Linked DNA regions of Cricetulus griseus. The protein of the gene in region 1 purifies or fractionates together with the protein of each later gene. This does not show direct contact. Links are inferred from orthologs where the notes say so. Each region holds a gene or a part of one and is shown in the gene's direction. Other genes may lie near its edges.

The links.
Region 2: the proteins of Zc3h8 (region 1) and Larp7 purify together in Homo sapiens (affinity purification with mass spectrometry; 4 studies listed by BioGRID and IntAct, counting the BioPlex papers as one, with this or other methods). This does not show direct contact. The link is inferred for Cricetulus griseus from reciprocal best matches to the Homo sapiens genes ZC3H8 and LARP7.

What each region holds. Positions count from the first base shown.
Region 1 is NC_048599.1:49,598,705-49,603,058, forward strand, and holds the start of Zc3h8 (zinc finger CCCH domain-containing protein 8), read left to right. Parts: upstream 1-1,379; 5' UTR 1,380-1,496; coding exon 1,497-1,573; intron 1,574-1,838; exon of another isoform or gene 1,839-1,984; coding exon of another isoform or gene 1,985-2,031; intron 2,032-4,354.
Region 2 is NW_023276806.1:31,273,890-31,277,389, forward strand, and holds part of Larp7 (la-related protein 7), read left to right. Parts: intron 1-2,748; 5' UTR 2,749-2,749; coding exon 2,750-2,936; intron 2,937-3,109; coding exon 3,110-3,210; intron 3,211-3,288; coding exon 3,289-3,372; intron 3,373-3,472; coding exon 3,473-3,500. UniProt on the Homo sapiens protein: RNA-binding protein that specifically binds distinct small nuclear RNA (snRNAs) and regulates their processing and function.

The sequences.
Region 1 (4,354 bases):
GGCTGGCCTCAAACTCAGAGATCCGACTGCCTCTGCCTTCCGAGTGCTGGGATTAAAGGTGTGCGCCACCAACGCCCGGCCTGGCATTTCATTTCTTAAAAATCACATTTATTTTATTTATGGCAAGTGTGGTGGTCAGATGACAACTTTTTGGGAGTTGGTTTTCTTTCAGTCTTGTGGGTTCCAGAGATCAAACACAGGCCATCAGGCATGCTTGGCAGCAAGTGCCTTTATCCATTGAGCCTTCTTACCAGCCCAAATTCTGGAATATTTTGTGTGTGTGTGTGTGTGTGTGTGTGTGTGTGTGTGTGTGAAAATGATTGTATGAGCTAGTATTTTCCTCTAAAGAGGGATATTATTAGTTTTTACCTCCTTAATTTTCTCTCATAATTTTTAATAACCATTGACATACAAAAAAGGTGACTGTCCATATTACTGGGGAGGTAGAATTGTCCTCTGGAAGAGGTCGGACCTAAAATCATTCTCTTCATTTGTGGAGTGGACCATGGTTCATGCTAGGAATCAAATAATCCCTTCAGTTACAGCAGAGTCAGGTTTTTCTGTCGTGGCCCAGAACATAGTTTGAATTTTTCTTTCTATTTACATCCATTAAGCGACTCTCTGTTTTCCAAACACAGTCTATTTTCCTGTCTTTACAGTTCTCCTTGGAACATACATTTAACTCCAATTTCATCCCTTCCTCTGGAAATTATCTCAAGGCTGAGTTCACCCCTTCCGAGCTTTCCCAACCAGCTTGTGGTTCCCCTCTTCCGAATAGCCATTACACTTAGTACTTTCTAATGAACTTGCCTGCTTTAAATATATTTGTGTTTACTCTTCTATTGTAGAGGCCGGCTAAGTTTCTTTGTGTGTATTTAATTTTGTTTATTCACTTGTCAAATGTGTGTTTGAAAAGTACGAGAAACGGTGTGATTGCAGTCAGTGGGTTTCCACAAAATTGAAAGAAAACTGTAAAAAGGGCTGGAGAGATAGATGGCCACGCAGTTAAAGAGAACTTAACTGCTCTTGAGGAGGACCTGCACTTACGTGAATTCCCAGCACTCAAGTCAGGTGAGTCACAATAACTCCACAATCACTGGCCTCCGCGATCACTGACCTCTGCGGGCACCTACACTCATGTACACACACGCAAACACACTCGTACACCTAAAAACAATAATCTTCTTAAAAAAGAATTTATATATATGTATATATAAATGCTACTAGATTGCTGTACTAATAGGTATGCAAACCCGCAAGGCCGGCAGAGAAAGAAGCCGCGCATGCGCAACGCAGGCACTGAAGGCGCCCTAGTGAGGGCCGTGCGTGCGTCGTACGGGCGCGAGCCGGTGCCCGGGGATTGCGCGGAGTCGCGCCCAAGTGGCGCGTGCGTGGGGCGGAGCCTGCGGCCCTTGGCGCGACTCTAGGTTCTCCTTCGGCTCTGGTGGTTGCTCAGTAGCTGCTCGGCGTGGAGGGAGACGGTCCCCGTCTGAGTTATGGATTTTGAAAATCTTTTCTCAAAACCCCCCAATCCGGCCCTCGGTAAAAAACGTGTCGCCGACTCTGAGAAAAGGTGATCCACATGTTTTCGTCCTTTGCAGGGCACCGCCCGGGCTCCGCCCCCTCGCTCCTTCGGGAAGCCGCGAGCCTGGGCTAGCGCGTGGGCGGAGGCCGGAGCGGAGCGGTCGCGAGGGGAAGTGGGATGGAAGTCGGAGGGGGACCGGGGCGAGGACAGTGGCCGGGCAGCGGGAGGAGGCTCCGGCCTCTGCGAATCTGCCCCCAGGGGCCGGCTGCTCCCCTTGCACGTGCGCTTAACCTGTTTCCTGTCACTGTCTCAGCTCAGAGGCGGCTTTGCCCGGACTCCTGGTTCTTGAGAGTTTGAAGGATACAGAAACACTGCCCTGCCAGTGATCCCGAACCAAAAATCCCAGAATAAAGCAGCAAGCACCATTTCGGCTTAGTATTTCCGTTAAATTGGAAAAGCATGTTGTTAATGTCGTACCTAGCGCAGAGTGCAGACTTTCTGTACAGGTACCCATTCACTTTTCAGTCTTTCGAGTTGAAAGCGCGTCCCCACACTCCATCTTCTCTCCTAAACCCTTGTCTTGTATGTTCCTATCTTGCCTCAGTGGAAACTTGACACACATCCTTCACGAGTTTTTTTCCCCATCCTCAATACAGATACATTTCCAGTGCTGGGTCGGCCACACCTTCAATCCCAGCACTTGAGGGGCCAAGGCAGGCAGACCTTTGAATCTGAGACCAGTCTGGTCTACATAGCCAGTTGCAAGCCAGCCTGGGCTGCTACATAGTGAAACCCTATCTCAAGGGGAAAGGGAGTATGTGTTCACTTCTCTGTCTCTACCTTAGTGGGAACTATTACTCTAATTGGGCTACATCAAGGGCTTTACTGTGTGCTTCATGTGAAATATAGCCCCCACAGATGAGAATATTGAAGCATAGAGAGCCTAAGTCACCTGCTGAGATTGTATAGTGGGGGTGGCAGATCTAAGATTAAGGTGCTCCAGTAGTGTGACTTCAGTACGTAGGATTTCATCACCCAGCTTCTAAAGCACAATTAATCAGGAAAATTAGGTCCTATAGACACACTGTAAAGAAATGGACAGATTGCTTGCAGGTGATAACATTTAAGAACAACAGAAATGAATTGATAATTTTAACTTGTATGAGAACTGAGCAAGTTTTTAAAAATAGCTAATAGTTTGAGAATATATTAGGCAAAATACTTGTTTACTAGAATTTGGCTGAAATATGTAAAAGACACTTGGATTTGCCAAAAGATAGTTGAAGTATGGCATGGAAGTAAGGTATCTATTCATGTGCTGCTTTTTACTTTGGCTTTAGGTCTTTTTCAAGATTTTAGGTTTCTGTATTTTTCTCTCAGTTTATCTTTTGATTTTTGCCTGCAGTTTTTTCAGTGTATTGAAACACTTTGTTTTAATTTATTTTATATGTATGATTTCTTTTGCCTGCATCTATGTCTCTGCACCACATGTGTGCCTTGCCCTTGGAGGCCAGAAGAGAGCATTGGCTCCCATGAAACAGGTGTTAACCATGTTTGTTAACCATCATGTAGGTCCTCTGGAAGAGCAGCCAGCGCTCTTAACAACTAAGCCATTTCTCCGACCTGATAAGAGTGTGTGTGTACGATCTTGCAAGTGAGTCAGTCTTTAAGTTTCTGGCTTTTTGCTCATTATGGGAATACTCATTCATTTAAAGCAATTTTTAATGAGTTCCTGCTACATAAAACACATCATTCTAGGTCATGGTGATAGAACCATAAATGGAATGTAGAAAAGTACTAATGCTCATGAATTGTAATTGTGGTGGATGACAGATACATGGTATTAAAGATAATGGAAACCACAGGGCAAATGGAAACTGAGTGAGGAGTTAAGAAGTACTTGTGGAATAATGAGGATAGTGTAGATAGTATTCAAAGAAGACAGTTAAGGAAAAGCCTTAACGAAAGTCACCTGTTTGGTTGTTAAGGGCAGGAAGTTGGAGACTAGGATGTTGGAATCAGCTATATACAGATGATACTAGAAGCCAGGAGACTGAAAGACGTCACCAAGAATGAAAGTAGAGAAAGAAAGATGAGGACTGGCTTTGTTAAGAGTTGCAAAGATGAGGAGCCAAGTGAGGAGATAAAGAAGTAGCAACTGGGCATGGTGTCACACCTATAATCCCAGTCATAGGGAGGCAGAAGCAGATAGATTGGGGCCAGCCTGGTCTACATAGTGACACTGGTAGTTTGAATGTAGTTTGTCCCCATCAGCTCATAGGGAGTGATACTATCAGGAGATGTGGCTTTGTTGGAGTATATGTGGCCTTGTTGGAGGTCGTGTGTCACTGTGGGGGTAGGCTTTGAGGTCTCCTTTGCTCAAGCTACACCCAGTAACAGTTCACTTTCTGTTGCCTGTGGATCAGGGTGTAGAACTCTCAGCTCCTTCAACACCATGTCTGCCTGCATGCTTCCATATCCTGCCATGATGATAATGGACTAAACTTCTGAACCTGTAAGCCACCCCAATTAAATGTTTCCTTTCATAAGAATTGCTGTGATCCTGGTGTCTCTTCACAGCAATAGAAACCCTAACTAAGATCCCATTTTTTAAAAAAAGTAGCAGCAGCAATAGGGGAAAAGACAGGGACAGCTCAGTTCCACTGGAGCTGGCTTACTAGCTTATGGGTGAGTCAAGAAATAGGACTGAGAATCATGGCCCTTAATGGAACAGTGAAGCGGAGAGGGCAGGGTAGAATGACAGGGTGTGATTCAAGACACGGTTCTCCATTTCTGATGTTTTCTGTCCTTTCATCTTGGGTTGATTTT
Region 2 (3,500 bases), on another chromosome or scaffold:
GTATTTGATCACTCTGAACTGGAATCTTAAGAGAAACACAAAGGAGGGCCTCTGGGCTAAGAGAGTGGACTGGTAGCTGTGACATTCTTGTGTTTTTACTGTTCTGTCTGCTTTGCTTTAGAACTGGTGGCTATAAAGTAGTGTGGCTATAAATTCCACTAGTGGTTCTCAACCTTCCTAACGATGTGAACCTTCCATACAGTTCATGTTGTAGTGACCCCCAACCATAAAATTATTCTGTTGCTACTTCTTAACTGTAATTTTGCTACTCTTATGAATTGTAATGTAAGTATCTGATATGTGACCCAGAAGGGGTCTTGATCCACAGGTTAAGAATCACTGCTTTAGATGGTGGGCTTTAATGGGAAAGAACTGTAGAGTTTGAAGTCTGACCTTTATAATTAACACTTAACAGTAGAGTCTGCTATGTGATCATTGTATTCTATATTTTTACCACCTTAGAAAAGGATTTGAAATGCTTAATACCTTATTTTCATTATATAGACCAGGCTGACTTCAAATTTAGAGGTACACTTGCCAGTACCTCATGAATGTTGGCTGGGATTTAGGTGTATACCACCATGCCTATCTCCAGGTACTTTTAAATAAATCTAACTACTTCACAAATATGTAGTAACCAAGTTGAAGCTTCTGCCTCTATATAGTTAGATTATAGTGGAGTAGATAGATAAGAAAGCTGTTGATTCCAGAGGGTGATGAGCATAGAAAGAAATGTTGGAAATATAGTACAGCTTGTCATCAAGGGGACTATTTTAGGTTGGATGAAAAAAAAAAAAAAAAGCCTCTGAAACAGTGGCATTCATAGACCTGGGTGAATATTATACTATATAGGTGTATTGAAAAAAAAAAACAAAACAACAACAACAGAAAGAACAAAGGTCTGGAGATGGAAATGGCTTTAACATATTTTAGGAACTTAGGGATAACATGTTATAAGCCTGCTGAAAAGTTGTAGAAGGAACCATTGGAGAAGTATGTCCAGGTCAGATTAAATAGGATCTAGTAAACCACTGTAAGGTCTTTGGGCTCTGTGCTGAATGTGCTAAGTCTTTGGGAATGTTTGTACAAAGAATTGTTCTGATTTACATATTTAAGTAATTATCCTGTACAAAAATTGATTATAAGAAAGCAGTAGTAGGGTGACTTGAGAGATGGCTCAGCGGTTAAAAGTACTACTTGCTCTTCCAGAGTTCAATTTCCAGCAACCACATGGTGGCTCACAACCATCTGTAATGAGATCTGGTGCCCTCTCCTGATGTGCAGTCATATATACAGGCAGAACACTGTATATATAATAAATAAATAAATCTTTTAAAAAAAAGAGAGAGAAAGCAGTAATAGAAGCAATTAGACTATTAAGGAAGATCTTGGATAGTTCAAATGAAACATAATAATAACTTGGACCAAGTGGTTTATTTAGAATGAGAAGTGTTAATGTTCAGGCTGTATTTTAAAGGCAGTGCTAGTACAACTGATAGTGTACAGTAGGAAGAATTGAGAATACTTTCTGGTCTTTTTGTTTTGTAGTTGGTATTTGTCAAAGTGGTAAAAATCTGGTAAAATTTTAGTATTCTTTTATTATGTTAACTCTTCTAAATGAACAAATGGAGTTTGAACAATTGACTATTGGAATGGGGAACTAATAACTGTGTTTTGTGAGGTGTATAGCCCAATACTCATTAGCCAGGACCCCCAGAAAGAATGAGTCAACAACAGAGGCCAAGATATGAGTCTAGTCATAGACACTATATGAGGGTAAAACACAGTAGAAGGAATCAGAAAAGGGAAACTCTTAAAACCGTATGAAGAAACTATTTACAAGGAAAGCATTTCTGAATGTAAGAGCTACTGGGATGTCAGGGAAGCACTGGGGTTGGGCAGACATTAGCTCTAATAGTAAAGTTCCACTAGAATGGCAGGTGTGAAATCTGAGGCCTCTGCTTATATATTATTTACCTCACTGTTTTACCAGTTATTAGTTTTGATGTGCAGCTAGCTGCATTCTGTGTCTTCAGCATTCAAGCAGATGCCTTATTACTTGTATGCTTTCAAAACTGGTACTTGGCTGGCCAGCTTATACTTTGAAAATGCCAAAAGTTGACTGGTAAAATGCATATTTTATTAAGATTTAGGTGAGATGCATGAAGAGCTTTGTTATGATAAAGCATGGGGAACCATAGCAGGAGAGGGTGACTGAGGCAGGGGACAAACATGCCAGGCAGACAGAGCTTAAGTAAGCTTTATTAGAAAGCAGAGGGGGAGGGGAAGGAAACAGAAAAGAGGTAAGGAAATAATGTAAAGAGAAACAGAAAGGGAAAGAGACCGAGAGGACTGGAAGAGAAAAGGGAGACAGGAAAAGTCCTATCTGCCCTCCCTTACCCCGTAAGTGGGTGGGATCTTTTAAAGAGGTCCATTGCACGTGGATGCTGAGTGTATTCAGGCTGGCCTGCCTGAATCAACTTATGAACTTGCTAGCCTCCACGAAGGTATCAAATCCCTTGGAACTTAAGACAGGTGGGTGCTGGGAATTGAACCATGGTCTGCTGAGAGGACCACCAAGCCACACACACCCGACATTGGTTTTTGCTTTAAGGCTGGAAGTAGGCTCAGGAAGGAGACAGGTGCCTCAATGCATGTGAAGCATCTTGCAAAACACACACTTAACTAAGGCCTCAGGCCCTCTTGTCCAGAAAAATAGGTGATATTAACTCCTATATTACTTTACAGAATGGAAACTGAAAATCAAAAAACTATGCAGGAAAGCACTGAGAAGAGAAAAGAAGAAAAAAAAAAACGCTCCAGGGTTAAACAGGTGCTTGCAGACATTGCCAAGCAAGTGGACTTCTGGTTCGGGGATGCAAACCTTCACAAGGACAGGTTTCTTCGAGAGCAAATCGAAAAATCTAGAGATGGATGTAAGTTTGCTCCCTCTAAAGTAACTCTCAGGCCTTATCAGGCAATAATACCAAAGCATCCAAGTTTATGGGGCCAGTGCCTGTTTTTATTATGATTCTTAAAATCATAAGCTCAGCAACACACACACACACAATTTTTAAAGCTAACAGTATCTACCACATTTTGCAACTAGATGTGGACATCTCTCTTCTGGTGTCTTTCAACAAAATGAAGAAATTGACCACAGATGGGAAGCTAATAGCCAGAGCATTGAAAAGCTCATCTGTAGTAGAGGTAATTTTTTTCACTACAAGTTAATCAAATTATCACACAAAACTGTTACTTTAAAAACTCAATTATCTTTTTTAAAAGTTGGACTTAGAAGGGACCAGAATCCGGAGAAAAAAGCCCTTGGGAGAGAGACCAAAGGATGAGGAGGAACGCACCGTGTATGTGGTAAGAAAAACACAAACTTAATTCTAGTTTCCATTTATTGATAAAATGTAGTTATTTAAATGCTTAAAAACTGTGTTCATGCCACTTATGGTTTTTACAGGAGCTACTTCCCAAGAATGTTACTCACA